4 linked regions of the Drosophila melanogaster genome follow. The protein of the gene in region 1 interacts with the protein of each later gene in a pairwise test. Each region holds a gene or a part of one and is shown on either strand. Other genes may lie near its edges. The genes, in order: PolA2, CG10650, Mst84Da and hale.

Region 1 (4,531 bases):
GTTCCGCCGGCCACATCAATGTCCTGCAGCTCCTTGAGGCACAGCCACTCGCCATCGACGGATACCCGGAAATTGCACAGGTAAATGGTGTCCTGGACACCGCCGGCTAGCTCCTCGCTGGTGTTGGCATGCGATGCCTTTGGCAAGGCAATCGTATTGCTGCTGTTGCTCGCCTGTTGTTGCTGCAACACCAGGGGTTGCTGCTGTGTCTGTTGCGGTTGTGGCGGCTGCTGTTTCGGCTGCACTTGTTGTGAGGGTGGATTCTGACCCTTTTGGCTCTTCGCCGCTGCTGCTTGCGCCCTTGTTGTTGCCGTTGCTCCAATTGCTGTTGCTGTTGTGCCAGTTGGAGTTGCTGCCGTGGCGGACTTTGCAGACTTGCCTACTTGTTGTTGCCCCGTTTGAGGCGCCTTCTTGGCAGCCATTGTTCCTGACGACAATGACGTCGCGCTGCCCGATGTTGGCGTTTTCACTGCACTTCTCAAGGGCTTCGAGCTGCTGCCGCTGGCACTTGATCCTGTTGCAAGGCTGCTCGACTTGATGCGACCGCTGCCGCTGGTGCTGCTGAGGTTGTTGTTGTTCGCCGACGACAACTTGGTCCTTTTTGTATCCTCGACAAGTCCACGCATTTCGCTGCTGCTTCAAAGTACGCCTGAGTAGTGTGTGTGTGTGCGTGGGCGTCCATAAAAATACAGATATATACATATATCGATATTAGCTGTTCAATAAGTTCCGAGTTTCCTTTGCTGCCGCTTTCCCTCAACTGTTTTTTCATTACCTTAGAGGGGTTTTTTCCTTTTGTAAACCTCTTTTCCAGAGGGTTTTACTTCTGAAATTAACAAAATAACCGAAAGTTCTCGCCGCTTTGATTTTGCACCGTTATCCTGTTGTGTACGCGTTGAGTAAGACTGGCAAAAAGTTCTTTATCCTATTGATTTGTCCAGTGCGCCAAGCTCGCAAGCTCCTCGCGAGCTTTCGTTGGGGGTGTTCTCGATGGTCACGCTGTGTGTGGTGCGCAAATCACCTTTGACACTTTCCCAATGCACTTTTAAGTTATTTTTAATCATATTATTTATACAAGTACCGAAATATTTCAACGACAGTTTCGCACAGCCCACGAAATTGCTAATACTAATTAATAAATACATTTTAGAATAGTTTTGAGTACCTAAATTGTTATATTAAATATATATGTGTATATATTTATATATATTATATATAATATATTTTATATATGCAACATTATTACTTAACATATTATTATTAGCGCACAATGGAAATTTGGTTTCCATTGCTGCTTATCATCGAATGAATAATAATTCGGACTCACCGCGTTTCAGTCGCTTTGCTTTCAGTTTCGATGGCGACGGGGATGAAGCACTGGCGCTCGCCACCGTGTCCGGCGCAACAGGTACAACAGGTGGTGCGGGCTCGTCGGGATACGGGTACGTGGTGGTGCCATCGATTACCTCGGAAGAGGCGGCTGCTGCGGCCGCATTCGAGAACTGTGTGGATATGTGGCTGAAGATCTGCGAGGAGATGCTCTCCGTGCGCCGGAAGGTGTTCCGCAGGCGGTCCAGCGATGACGTGGGGGCGCTGGGCGCAGGCGCGGCACCTCCGGTGGTGGGCGTAACCGGAATGGAGACACTCGAGGATTGGGAGTCTTCACTCCTTTCGCGGCGCACCAGCAGATCGTCCGTGCTCATGGCGAATCACTTGCTTCGCGGCGATTATCAGGACACTGTGCGGAGTCACATGAATCAAAATGACGCGATTACAGCCGCTAATTTCGCTTGTTTTGCGCTTGAACGCGGGTAAACAAAAAAGTTTGTCAATACAAAATTAAAACAGCTGTTGCACTGCGATTGGGGATGGGCGATAACAATCACTGGTTACAGATCACGGTTATCGCAGCTCGATGGGAGCTGTTATGTTATTGAACTGACTATGCTTATCGATAAGAAAACTCAAGCAGGTGTTAAAAGCATCATAGGGTGGCAACACTGTGCCCACTTTTACCGCCAAAATAAATTGCTAGGTTTATTTACGAAAATTAAACGCCCAACGAAAGGACAACGAATGGAGGAGGAATTGAAGCAGCAGTTCGACGAGATGGGCGTGGAGCCAGCGGACGCAGTTCTGGGCAGGTGTGCGGAGCTGGCCATTACCTACAACATCCACGACGCCACCGAGTTCGTGGAGCAGTGGATGGCCTTCAGTTTGTCGCACCTCCAAGGCGAGGATCCTGCGATCGAGAATCTGGGCGACTTTGAGCGCAAGGTGTTGCAGCTGCGGAAGGACAAGGCGGGATACAAGGCAACTGGCCAGAAGGCGAAATCATATGGTTCGCCCTCTGTACAGGATACGAGCTCACTGGCCACCTATGGCGTCATGGAGGACGATCCCATGCTGGATGACTATGTCAGCGAATCGGCAGTGGACTCCTCCGCTCTGCACACGCCCAAGGCCAAGAAGCAGTCGGATCGGACCGCCAATCTCAAGGGCGCCGCACTCTTTAGCCCCGCCAGCTATACACCCCAATCGGCAAAGAGGAAAGCAGGTTTAGAAACACCATCCAACTCAGTGGCCGGCAAGCCGGGCGATATAGTTGACACCTTCGGACATCCCAAACTCCTGGCTGGCTCCAGCTGGCAGTCACAAATGGAGCACACGGTTCCGGTGACTCAAAAACTGCTGCACAACGACGCCCCGCTGACCATCGCAAATTTGGGCTACATGAACGACCTGCTGACCGACCGATGTCACAACCTGCGCGTCCGCTTCAACCAAACCGGTCCGGCACTAGTGGACAAGAAACTTGGACAAGCAGGCGCAGCCGAGTGCATTTGGTATCCGCAGGATAGGCAGGTATTGCAGTCCGCAGGTGGACTCCACGCGGTGGGAATGATTCATTCCGAGGACGATGGCCCACTGGACGCCCACTCCGCATTTATGGCCGTTTTAGATGACGATGTAGAAGATGAAATGGACCCAACGCTCACGCTCAACTTCTCCAGGGTCAAGTCTGCCAGCATATTCCCAGGTCAAGTGGTGCTCGCCAAAGGGTTCATACCCAGGGGCAAAACCTTCATGGTAGAGGAGATACACACAGAGCGCAAACTGACGCCAGCAACGCCACTGCAAATAGACAGGGAGCTTCAGTTTGTGGTGGCCTCCGGACCCTTTACGGACAGTACGGATCTCTTCTACGAACCGCTGCACGACCTGCTCAAGTACCTCAAGGATCACAGACCTGACGTGCTGGTGCTCACGGGACCATTCCTGGATGCCGATCACAAGATGGTCGGCGAACTGGCCGAGACCTTCGATACATTCTTCGAGAAGATGATTGGGGGAATAATGGAGTCGATTGGTAGTCACACAGCAGTGCTGGTGGTGACCAGTCAGAAGGATGCCATGGCTCTTTCCGTATATCCAACGCCGCCGCCCGCTCTGCGCAGAACCTATCCAAATCTATACATGCTGCCCGATCCATCTCTGGTGGACTTGGATGGCTTTACGCTGGGCGTTACCTCAACCGACGTGGTGGACCACCTGTTGAGTCACGAGTTTGCTGTGAATGCCGGCGAGCGGATGCACAGGGCCATCAACCACTTGTTCCACCAGGGCTCCTTCTATCCTTTGTATCCGCCGGCGGACGAAGACATGGCCTACGATTCCCAGCTGGCGTTGAAATATGCACAGCTCAAACAGCTACCAAATGTGCTCATCTTGCCCAGCGATCAGCGGCATTTCATCCGCTTGGTCAACGACTGCCTGGTGATCAATCCCGGCCGTGTCGCGGACAAGAAGGGTGGAACTTTCGCCCGATTCCTGGTGGCGCCTTCGGTGCCGGGAAAGGCGGCCAACATGTTCAACAGTGTGGCGTGTCAAGTCCAACGCATCTAACCTGACCACTTTGTGATGATGATAAGGAAAGGATAGTGGGAAATAGATCAGTACAATATTATTAGTTAATATAATGAACACACTACTTTGTCATAACTTTTCACAAAATACATTCAACAACAAACAACTAGCATTAGTTATTTTGGGCCAAAGTAGGTATTGTATTATTTGTAAACATATGCCCTGGAGTTTTCTCAGACTCAAGTTTTATATACAACAAGATCAATAATGGCTAGCAACGTTGCTGCGCCACAAGCTTCAGCTGGAGGAGATTCGACGGAACTGGAGCGCTGTTGCTGGATCTGTTTTGAGACCGATAAGGAGGCAGGTCGCCAGGCTTGGGTGAATCCATGTCTCTGCCGAGGAACCAATAAGTGGGTGCACCAGAGCTGCATTTCCCTCTGGATCGACGAGAAGACCCGAATAAACAACAATCTGCAAGCCGTTTCCTGTCCACAATGCCAAACGGAGTACACCATTGCATACCCGAATCTCTGGATTTTCGATAGGGCTTTGGAGCTGACCAACGATCTTATCCTAACAAACTTATATAATTGCCTGGCCAATGTCTTCACGGTGGTCTTTGCCTATTGGTCAGCGGTTTCATTCGGAGCAAAAACATATT
Region 2 (4,801 bases), on another chromosome or scaffold:
CTGTCGAGGAAACAACAACGCTTTCTCCGCCTATAAGATGCCTCAGTTGTAAATTTTGCTCACCCAATGAGGGGAAAACCAGAACTAGGAAGGGCAAAAAGATGTGCCACATAAAGTTAGGCGAATTGAACGGTTGCGTATCTATGTACTTCAACTTCAACAGCAGTGCTGGAGGACCAGATGGCTTTATGGTGAGAAGCTGCATTTCCGACATGGACGAGAGTTCACTGGAACACTGCGAGAAACATGCAGAACTCTGTGAGAGGTGTTTCGAAGACGATTGCAACTATGTGGAAATAGATAAAAATGGTTTGGCCACGAATGCAGGATCGCGAATAATATACTCAAGTCTAATGATCTTCTGTTTAGCCGGCTGGCTCTTTAGGAGTGAAAAATGCAAACTTATGATTATATTATAGGCCTGTTCAGCTTAATAATGGCAAATTGAAAACCAAAATTATGGAATTCGGCGAAATCACCATCGTCATGTAATGGAAAATGTAATTTGAGTTACCTAAGAATGCTACAAATACTTTCTGAGACATTTCCAACTGGCTCTTCTAGTGCACCCAAACAAATTTCTTCGAACTATTGTTAATATAAACTCTCATTTTGATTGATGCAATAAATATACACACATATATGTACAAAGTATATTATTAATGGTACTGCGGTTGATAAGGCGTTGTGATTATTTCTTTATTTGATAAGGCCTAGCAGGTTGAAAACTCTTTTACCACTAGCCATCAATGAAAACAGGGTTTTCCAAGGACATAATTACTAAACTACTGTGAAAGAGTAATTGTTTTATTAAAATGATTTATTTGGGATTATGGAAGTGTTCTTAAAATGCTTCAGCTCCTATAATTAGGTTATGTCTTTTTGTCTGTTGCTTTGTAATAGTTAACATTACTCATAGACCCAGGCACCCGGTAATTTGATTGGATCATCCAACTACGTGGAGGTGGTTGGATTACAGGGCACTGCGTAGAGCGATCACCACTCCCGTCAGAAGGCCGACCACGCCCACATTCCTGAGTGCGCCTGCTCCATTGAAGGGTACCTTGTTGCACTTGCTCTCCGTACACAATTCGCACTGATGGGCCTCCACTTTGGCATTGCACTGGTACTGCATCAGGTGGCTGGCAGCGGTAAAACATCCTCGCACTCCAAGTTCATCTGGGGGAAAATGTTGAAAGGCAATTGTTAGGATTTTTGCTGGCATAATAATAATGCAATTTGGGAATACCCTTTTACATTATAAAATAAAATCTTTGAAAACTATAGCATTGATTCGCTGTGCTTAGACTTGGTACCAACTTACTCCAGACTCCGCTGTAGCACGTTCCATTGGGGCAGTTGATCAAAGGGAGCGTGTCCGGATATTTGGCCGACCAGCAGCCGGAAACCTCATTCGAAATGCATGTAATGCACTGGAACTCGCCGGCAGCCACATTGCAGCCATTTTCGGAGCAGGAAGTGCAGGCATTGGTTGTAGAGCAGCCAGCCTCCAAGGTGTTTAGGCACCCTCGGGTAACATTGGTTCCTGAGGTCATGGTATAACACCCGACTTCCTGGTTGTACTTGGCCTGTCCGCAGGACTTCGCATTGGTAGCAACCTGTTGCTCCGCACAGTTCTCGCAAATGATACAGGAACCGGCCTCTCGTTCGTAGGTCGGACTATTGCAAAAGTCGGAGTTGCAGACGAGGCAACTGGGATCAGTGCTGTCCGACGCACACTTGATTTCCGTGGTGGCCGATGTGCAACCACGGGTCATGTTGCTCGCAGACGTTCCGGTGGTGAAGCACCCGGCATCGATTTGACTACATCCCGCGACCAAGGTATTTGAGACCGCATTGCAGTTCTCTCCTGAGCAATTATAGCACTGGCGACGATTGGCGGGGAATAGTCCCACATTGCACAGGGATGCCGAGCATGAGGAGCACGTGGATTCCGTTCCAGCAGCACAGGGGTCACCACATTGACGGGTCACCGTCTTGTTGTCATTCAACTGATTCACGCAGACCTGTCCATTATTGGGGCACACTGCATTGTATTGCGTATCCGTCACGTTGGTCGTGGCGCAATTCGCTTCGCCGAGGCACTGCTGGCACACCAAATTCAAATTGCAATTGTCTTCCTTGCAGGTCGAGCAGGATGGTAAGGTGCACGCAGTGCCATTAATCAAGCAGCCACGAGTTAGAGTTCCTATTGGGATACAGAAAATCAATAACTAGATGCAAGGGAATATGGTTCAGAGCAAAACTTCGTATGATTTCTAATATAAACTTATAATGATTTCTAATATAACTTATATATTCCTTATAAGTTGAGAGCCTGCAGATTCTAGTGGCGCCTAAGCTGTGCTAATTTCATTCAGATCATTTTCACGCCCACTCTAAAGCCCACAAAGCGTGCCAGATTCTACTGATACTTCAACAGAATGTTTAAATGTGTACCTTAAACTCCCACAAGCTGAATAAAGAGGTATCTGATGGTCGAGTGACTCCACTTTAGCGTTCTCTTCGTTATTAAATCAAATTATACGCAATATTTAAATCTTAGACAACAACACGAAAAAGCCAGGTAGTGCAGTAACTGCCAAATGAGTCACAACATCATAAACCTTTTTCGATCCGCACGAAATTAGAAAAGAAAACAAGGATCAATAGCTATCAAAAAGAAAAAGAGATAATCGCTTATCACCTTTGGTTGCACTGATCGATAAGAGGGCCACTACCCCCGTCTAAGAATATGAAATAGTCGGTCATGAGTCATACAAACCCACCTGCGTTAATAAGAGTATAGCATTCATTATCACACTCTATAGAAGTTTGAGTAGATGGACTCGTTAAACAATTTCCAGTGTCATTCGTCGTCGATGTGCACGAATAGCACTCTGCAATGGCAATAATAATTTGAAGTAAGTCATTTGAAAAAACTCATCCAAAATGTGGTAACCTACGGAGGGCTGAGGTGCTGTCCAGCTGGCTGGCAATGAAAGCTGCTATCACAATCATACACAGGCTGTATTCTCTCATGGCTCTCGGTTTTCTATTCTTTCTGGCTTCTCAACTGAAATGTCGGACCGGCTGGATCGACCACCGTTTTTTAACTGGCTCCCTCACTGTTTGGCCATATTTTTTTTACCCCCATTCGCATAATCAATTTCACCTGAACTCACTAACACCTGCCAAGCTCTTCTCCGCATGCAGTGGTTATCTGCTCTACACACATATATATGTTTGTATACATATATATATATATATATATATATATGTACAATCGGAGGAAGTCAGTTCTCTTTTAGCTGATAACTTCAATACCCAGGTGTAAATGTGCAAGTGTGTGTGTGTACAACGCTGTTCACATGCGATGATAGTTACCACAAGCCTGCATTTACTTTGGAGCTTTTGCAAAAGCTGAAAAATTAACCCATGCTGCCAACGTTCTTACCGTATTTCCTTAAACGAATATACATCAACAGTAACTTCCTGTTTCCGATCTAGCCGGCGGATAATTGAACACAATTATAACGATAATTAAATACTTTAATTAAAATTTGGTTTGCCTTGGCTGTACGGCAGTTATATGATATATTTTCTTTTGATTTTCATCAAATTAAAATATGGTCAAAAACTGTTGTATATCTCATACATATATTAATACTTACCATTATTTTTCGATTATCCCTATAACAGCAATATGATATAGTGGTCCAACCTATATGTATACTAACTGAAATTGAACGAAGACAAACATGACTGTATCGACTCTACTGTTGAATATACGAATCTGAATGAAATCAATGTACCATTTGCAAGGGTATAAAAATAAAAGGCGCCACCAAAAACTGCATGAATAATCTCAATTTCCAGATTTTACAGGTTCGACAAACTTTCCATTTGATTATGGATTGACTATAGTTCCATTGATAAAAAAAATAATGTAATTTGAACTAACAAGAAAGAACTCAATTCCTATCAGATACCCAGATTTAATTGAATAAATACACATTTGTAGGGTCAAAAACACTTTCTTGTTTCATAGTTTTTAACCCTTATATTCTACGAGGAAAGTGTACAATTATATATGTAAAGCTGTATTGCCCAATTTTCTGGCTAATAACATATAAACAATGTGCCTTAACTACAAGTCATATATCTTAACGATACTTGAGGATTGAAGTGAGACTTTTGTTTATATGTGAACGTTCGTTCTCAAGTTTATAATTTCGGTTACTCGTTCTTGAACTTATGTGTTTGCTTTTAAGTTTTTTTTTTTTTTATCGTTCGTTCCTAATTTAATATCGAAACTTAATTTTTCTCTCAGTGTCTTAATAAAAATTATTATTATTTATTGTATTTGGGCGACTTCTTAAATTCTGCACATGCCGGTGTTTTATGTTATTAAGGTTTAAGTTGAAGTCTAGACAAAATGATTCAATAAAACAAAGTACAAATAGTAAGTACATACTTTTATATCTTTTTATCTTTAGCATATCATTTAAGGTTTTTTTGAACCAGACTGGTATTCAACATAAAGCCATTATCTTCAAAAAATATAACCGAAATCTAATCTGGGTTATCTCCGGCGAATTTAGCACCGAGAGCTAATCATGTTGCTCACACTCAGTACCTTTAAGATCTTTTCTACGCGCGGACGTATTGCTGTTTAGTTGAATTTCTGGCATTGCAATTTAATAAATTAGTTCGTTGGAAAGCATGTTATACGTTGAAAAGTGCAAGTGACTTCAAGCCTAGAAGGTATAAATATTTTTGATCATTCGATCCGACTATG
Region 3 (2,489 bases), about 20 Mb from region 1:
AATCGATTCGGCTGCCAATTGCGAGCATTTAGCACCAACAGCCACCGCAACAACTGCCAAATGGTCCGCAACAAGGTCCACAGGGTCCACAGGGTCCACAGCAGGATCCGCACGGCCCACATCGGGGTCCACAAGGTCCACAGCAGGGACCACAGCAGTAATATCCGCAGCACGATCCACAAGGTCCACAGCACATGATTAATTCGAGAAGTCTAAAATAAACGAAATAAATATGTATACTATTTTAACTTTACAATAAACATTTTTACCAACGGTCTTTAGAAGCCAAAAAAAAAAAACAAGTATTTGGGACAAAACAACAAAATTTTGATGCGAGCAGCACAAGGGTCGAGATGAGAATGATATATTTTCCGAACTTACAAGGTTAGGTGGGTCTGACAGGTCAAGAACGATTTCCATAGCCTACTATGAATTCGAATTATGTTTATGTACAGCGGTTGATGGTTAAAAATAGTTATTATTGTTATAGAATTATTGTTATCGGACATTTGTCCGTTTGCAGACAAATACTATTATTGAATGAGGTTTAAATTCACGGTTGCAGGTTTTATACCCGCCACTCGTAGAGTAATAGCTATGCTATAGTGAATAGAAGAAAAGGTTATTTATTCTTGAGCTGGATCACAAGCCTAGTCGATATGAACGTAGGATGTTCCTCCGCCCCCTCTAACGATCGCAATCCACCAAGAATTGACAATTTTAATTTTCGCAATTATATTACATAAATTATTATTGTCACGCATTTGGTATCCATAGCTAAGACAAAGGTTGCACCATTTAGAAGAGAAAAACCATCGGAAAAGGTATTTTGAAATTCTTATTTTATTGACTAGGCCCGCGAGCTAAGAAGAGTTTATCCGCATTCAGTCCTAAGTTCCACTTTGTGGTTCACAGGAAAAAGATATTTTACATGTTGTGGTTGTTGTTCAGCACCCGCAATATGGCCTACAAGGTCCACAGCAAGGTCCACAAGGCCCGCATGGACCACAGCCCCCGCAGCAAGGACCGCAAGGACCGCAAGGGCCGCAAGGCGCACAGCAAGATCCACAAGGACTACAGCAGGAACCGCAAGGACCACAGGGTCCGCAAGGTCCGCAAGGACCGCCGCACGGGCTACAGGGTCCGCAGAATCCAAGGGGTCCGCAACACATGATGGTTCCGTAAAGTTCTAAGAAAAATTTTGTTAAAACTTCGCATGCTTACACTTTGAGAAATACTCACTTTGAACCTAACAAAGAAATAACTTAGGACGAAAAAATATTTCGATGATTACAGGCCGAGAACCAAAATAAGAATGATGGAAACCTGACTCACAAGTTGGTATATGAATTTGACAACTGTCGAAAATATCCATAGCTAACTAGATTATGGGTTTTGGGATACCAGAATATAATAATAATAATGAATATAATTTGTCGGATCATATTAGCCTTGAAATTCTCATGACTGCTGTCAAATGAAGCTTCGGCTAATTTGGATCACATTCAGTCAGTTCTCCGTTCCACCTTCAATAGTTAACACCTAAATTTTCGGTTCCTTTCGATTCCGGTTGGGAAATATCTTTTAAGAAACAAAATCATGTACATGTACGTCAACCCGAATTACGTTTTGGTTGGGGTATGTATTTATCGGTCTCGTAAGTCGAGTGAATACTTTTAATATGATTTATCAGGGCCCCTGCTGTGGCCCCTGCGGCGGATGCGGACCCTGTGGTGGATGTGGCCCCTGCTGTGGTGGGTGTGGCCCCTGCTGTGGTCCTTGCGGAGGATGTGGACCTTGCTGCGGCGGCACCAGCAGTTTTTGCGGTTGCGGTCCTTGCTGCTAAACCAGTTGACCCGGAAACCTGTCGGAATACTTCCGGGAACTATGTAAATCTCAAAAAATAAACTGTGTGGGAGACAACAAATTATATATTTTTGTTTCTTATTGAAATTAATAATGTAATGTCCTAGTCAACGTAGCTTGGTAGTAGCGGCATCGAGTAAATCAGCTTGTTCCAAAAGTTCGGATGGCTTCTCTCCAGATAGGTGTTAAATGCCATGTAGGTCCTTAGCTCGCTATCCAGACTGTCGAAGTTCTTCACGTTTGGATAGAGCACCACTATCAGACGCTTGCACCGATCGCGTGAGGTGGCGTGGAGGGCCAGTCGGAACTCGAGGCGACCCCAAGTGGAATTCATAAAGTTCTCTGTCATGAGGACAATAATGCGCCGCGAGTCCTTTATAGATTGACCAATGCAATCGGGAATAGATTCGCCCGCCAGCCAGTCTCGCAGGTAGAAGCAGAGTTGGAACCTGGGCCTACCACGTTCCAGCCTATCCACGAACTCCTCCAGCAGAGCCTCGTCCTTATGGGTAAACGCCAGAAAGGCATCGAACCTTTTGTCCTTATCAAGTTCCCGCTTGGCTGACAGACTGAGACACACACCGTGCTCATAGAACCAGACCAGGACCGGTTGTCTGAACCAT
Region 4 (3,750 bases), on another chromosome or scaffold:
TAGAAGCTGCTGCGTCGCTGGCTTGGTTTCAAGGGGCAGCAGACACTTTGGGCTTGTTGCTGCTGCTGCTGTGATTGGAACACCTGTTGGTTGTTGAAGGGTCCCAGGCAGTGGCAACAAGGATGGGGGTGCGTCCTGCACTGGGAACACTGGTTGCACAAGGATTGGCACGAGCAACAGGGATAAAATCCTCCAGAAATCGGAATATTCGGCTGCTGCTGCAGCGCACAAGTGGAGGTTCCGAGAACTGGGTGCATCATGTGCTGGCTGATCTGACCACCTAATCCCATAGAAGGATGTGATTCCATGCTCGACAAAGGACAGCAGGATGTACCACCGTTGTAGCAGCCGTTTGCAAAACTCTCCGGCTTCAACATGCAGCAGTTGCTTCCGTTGGCTGGACATTGATACTGATTGCCCATCTGCATTGGGCAGACTTGACTCGTCCTCGACGGACAGCAATTGCTGCACGTGCAGCAGGAGCAGCTGGACATGCTGCTCGGCGTGGCGCACAGGAACTGCTGGCCAGGATACATGACAGGACAACCCGATGTTGCCGTCCCCGGCTGATTCATGTGCATAAAACTGATGGTCACATATGGCGAGTTGTTGGTCGGTTGAACTCGCACGTTCGGGTGTTGCTGCAGCGTCAAATGCTGCTGCATATGTTGCTGCTGCTGCTGCAGCACATTCTGCTGCATGTTCTGATGTTGCAGCAAGGACATTTGCTGTTGATGCTGCTCATTCAGCGACGGTTGTCGCTGTTGTTGCTGTTGCTCCCGATTTAATTTTAAAAGTTTTTGTCGGACCTGGGCTGCAGTTTGAAGGGATAACTTCCGAGCGGCTTGTACAGTGTTACCTGGGGAATAAAGAGGGAGGAAGGAACATAAATATAGAAGCAATCTAAAATGAATAATATAACCTTTCTGGTTGCTATTGCTGGTGGTTGGATACTGCGGAAAGGCTTTGTCCGTCTGGGATCCTGCATTAGAAATGGCGTAGGAACGCGAGGTCTGCTGCGTCTGACACTTGCCGGTTTGGTCTTCCTTCGACTGTTCTATGTCCTGTTGAATCCGATTCCTAGCCAAAGCATCCTCGAGAACCACGAACGAAGGTCTATTCGCCAGATCCTTGTTGCAGATCTTAACGAAAGGCGGCAAAGTTTCGGTTTTCTTGATCTCCTCTATGGACTTGTCATTCTTGCTCTTCTCCAGCTTTTCAGTTGAGTCATCATCGATGTCATTTGAATTCCCTTTGAGCACAGCTATGCACTCTTTCTTGGTTTCCTTAGTGCCATTCGTCAGTGGGGAGTTACTACTGTCTGCTCCGCTTTGGGGATTCTTGCATTCCTGATTAAGTGAGCTAATTTCGATGAGACCATCAGTGCCCACGGTAATCATGAAACAGCATTTGGCCACCGTTTCGTCATTTGATTTGGCCAATTGCCCTGATGATTCATTCTCGCCTGGGGCCTCCATTTTCCTGAATTTTGATGTGTTTTCCGGGTGTTGTGAGTTGATGTTTCCTAACGCATATCAAAAAGTATATCAGGCGACAAATGTACTGTCAACTTTGAAATGCTCATCGAAACTGGATTTCCCTTACTGTGTAAGTAGTGACCAAAACGTTCTTGGTGTTTAAGATTTTAGAACCATATTAATATTAATAAGATAAAATTATTTAAAAACTTGAAACAGTATTTATTTCTTAAAATAATTCAAATTATATACTAGAGAAGCAAGTCTGGTATCAATCAGTATGTCTCAGCTTTATGATGTCAAACATTTCTACACCTTTTGTGCTTTAACATGTACACAAAATTGTCATATCCGTGAGTTGGCCTCTCCGGGTGGTGAAGAGTTGAAGATGTTCTGCACGGAGAGCTGTGAGCACGGATGCAATGCAACCTCGTCGGGCAAGCTGATCGCCAATGGAAACGGTGGCGGCCTGCAGTCGCAGGGAAATTCACAGCATCAGTTCACCATGTCCTACGCTCCACTGTCGACCAACGATGTGCCCTCCAAGTCCGAGGTGGAACCACCGCGACTGGGCATGTGCCTGGTCACCGAGTGTCCAGAGGGTCTGAGGTAATTTATACATGAATTTCCATGAAAAGTGATTCGATTTCTACTCCCTTCCTCTCCAGCATTGACTGCAATGTGCCACTGCCGAATTCTTTCAATTTGGATGAATACAAAAATCACATGATCTGCTCGAGCTGTACCCAGTTCAATGGTGGCTTGGACAGATTTGGCCAGCCAGGTACAGCCGGTCCAAGTGCCAGTCCTAGTGCCAATCCATATCCAACTCCGATGCCCAATCCCATCCAGGCCTCTCCTTGCAGCTTTCATGGCCAGTGTTGTTCAGCCGGTGGACCATGCGCTGGATATGATTCGCAGCCAAATCCATCAAGATGCTATCGACAGGAATCATCGTTGGCTCAAGGAGCCCCAGCGATGCCGCAGATCTTTTGCCTGGCACCACCCAGTTCCCATGGTGGCTTAAATCAGCCCGTTTACTTGTGCAGCCTGATTCCAGTTCCGCCATCGTGGAACCTGGTGCCGCTGGCCCAACCGCAGCACTTGACGCATCAGCAGCTGCTGACGAATCCCGCACAGGACTCGCAGCTGCCGTTGCAGCAATTGGTGCAGTACGACCTGTCCTTCAATCGCCTGCTGGCCGAATTGCGCAAGGAACGGGAGAGGTCCTGTTGTGACCTGCAGATCCCCCAGCCTCTGGCTTTCCAGCTGTATGCGCCCACGGTTAGGTTTCTAGATCAGCCAGATTCCAGTTCGGCGAAGAGAGAGCCTCATTGCCCGCCGGCAGCTCCTTGTGCTCCTCCAGCTGCACCACCACAACCACCATCCTCGTCATCATCCCCAACAGCCACATCTGCCTCCGCCGCCGGGCTGCCAAGAGCTCGTTCGGCCAGCCCGAAGCGCAGTCGTTCGTGTCTCCGGAACAAGGATCTCTGGGACAGTGGCGGATCCGTACCAGGTCCATCCCCCTGCTCCTCGCCCACCCAACATGCGACCGGAAATGTGTGCATGAAGTGCGGAAACTGCTGGCATTGTCCGCGCTGCAACTGCTCCAACTGCTTCTGGCATCCCGGCTTGGTGCGAGCTCCTCCAAGAGATGGTCGCTAGGGAAGGGGACTAAGAGCCACTCCTACACTGTAAAAGAAGAAAGTGTAATAAAATTCCAAGACTTTTAAGCAAGCAGCTTGCCACTATTTCTTAATTGAATTCAATAATAAGAATATTTATTCTTGCAATATGAAGAGAGAGTCACTTTTAAGGTTTTTTTTTCGTTTATTAGTTTGTAATATTTAAACCCTATTTATAAATATTTTATGATACATAAAAAATGAATTCTTTCACAATTTCTACAGCAGCTAGGACTTATATCACAAGTAATGTTCGTTAAACAATGAACTGTAATTAAAAGTAATTATCGATCAGCCTGCATGTTCATAAAGCTAGCCACGTAGTTGGACATGACCGAGTTTATTCCGAAATGGTCGTTTCTGGGCTCAAGGGGTTGGGATTGCAAATTCCGGTGGCCGGGCAAGATCAGCGAAGCTGGCGGCAAGGGAGTTCTTATTTGGCAAGGATACGGATCCGTTCCCAGCTCAGAAATCCTTGTGCGACAACGCCTCACTTTCCGGGCAGAGGGACTAACTTGGGTGCAGGTCCTGCTGCTGGATTGGCAATACGGAGGTGGCGGAAGGAGAAATCTTTGCTGCAGCTC

What was found.
Region 2: the proteins of PolA2 (region 1) and CG10650 interact in a two-hybrid assay, tested with the Drosophila melanogaster proteins (one large-scale study listed by BioGRID).
Region 3: the proteins of PolA2 (region 1) and Mst84Da interact in a two-hybrid assay, tested with the Drosophila melanogaster proteins (one large-scale study listed by BioGRID).
Region 4: the proteins of PolA2 (region 1) and hale interact in a two-hybrid assay, tested with the Drosophila melanogaster proteins (one large-scale study listed by BioGRID).

What each region holds. Positions count from the first base shown.
Region 1 is NT_033777.3:27,237,198-27,241,728, forward strand, and holds PolA2 (DNA polymerase alpha subunit 2), read left to right. Parts: upstream 1-1,965; 5' UTR 1,966-2,076; coding exon 2,077-3,906; 3' UTR 3,907-4,031; downstream 4,032-4,531. Other genes in the region: CG31064 (uncharacterized protein), read right to left, coding at 1-626; CG17991 (uncharacterized protein), read left to right, coding at 4,135-4,531. UniProt on the Drosophila melanogaster protein: Accessory subunit of the DNA polymerase alpha complex (also known as the alpha DNA polymerase-primase complex) which plays an essential role in the initiation of DNA synthesis.
Region 2 is NT_033779.5:18,992,813-18,997,613, forward strand, and holds CG10650 (uncharacterized protein), read right to left. Parts: upstream 3,123-4,801; 5' UTR 3,043-3,122; coding exon 2,967-3,042; intron 2,901-2,966; coding exon 2,790-2,900; intron 2,210-2,789; coding exon 1,325-2,209; intron 1,180-1,324; coding exon 974-1,179; 3' UTR 548-973; downstream 1-547. Other genes in the region: CG46465 (uncharacterized protein), read left to right, coding at 1-419.
Region 3 is NT_033777.3:7,364,334-7,366,822, forward strand, and holds Mst84Da (Male-specific RNA 84Da), read left to right. Parts: upstream 1-1,516; 5' UTR 1,517-1,599; coding exon 1,600-1,638; exon of another isoform or gene 1,639-1,693; coding exon 1,694-1,846; 3' UTR 1,847-1,929; downstream 1,930-2,489. Other genes in the region: Mst84Dc (Male-specific RNA 84Dc), read right to left, coding at 29-196; Mst84Db (Male-specific RNA 84Db), read right to left, coding at 948-1,172.
Region 4 is NT_037436.4:19,983,892-19,987,641, reverse strand, and holds hale (hale-bopp), read left to right. Parts: upstream 1-1,773; 5' UTR 1,774-1,866; coding exon 1,867-2,087; intron 2,088-2,146; coding exon 2,147-3,146; 3' UTR 3,147-3,216; downstream 3,217-3,750. Other genes in the region: schuy (schumacher-levy), read right to left, coding at 1-859, 923-1,478; CG17732 (uncharacterized protein), read right to left, coding at 3,451-3,750.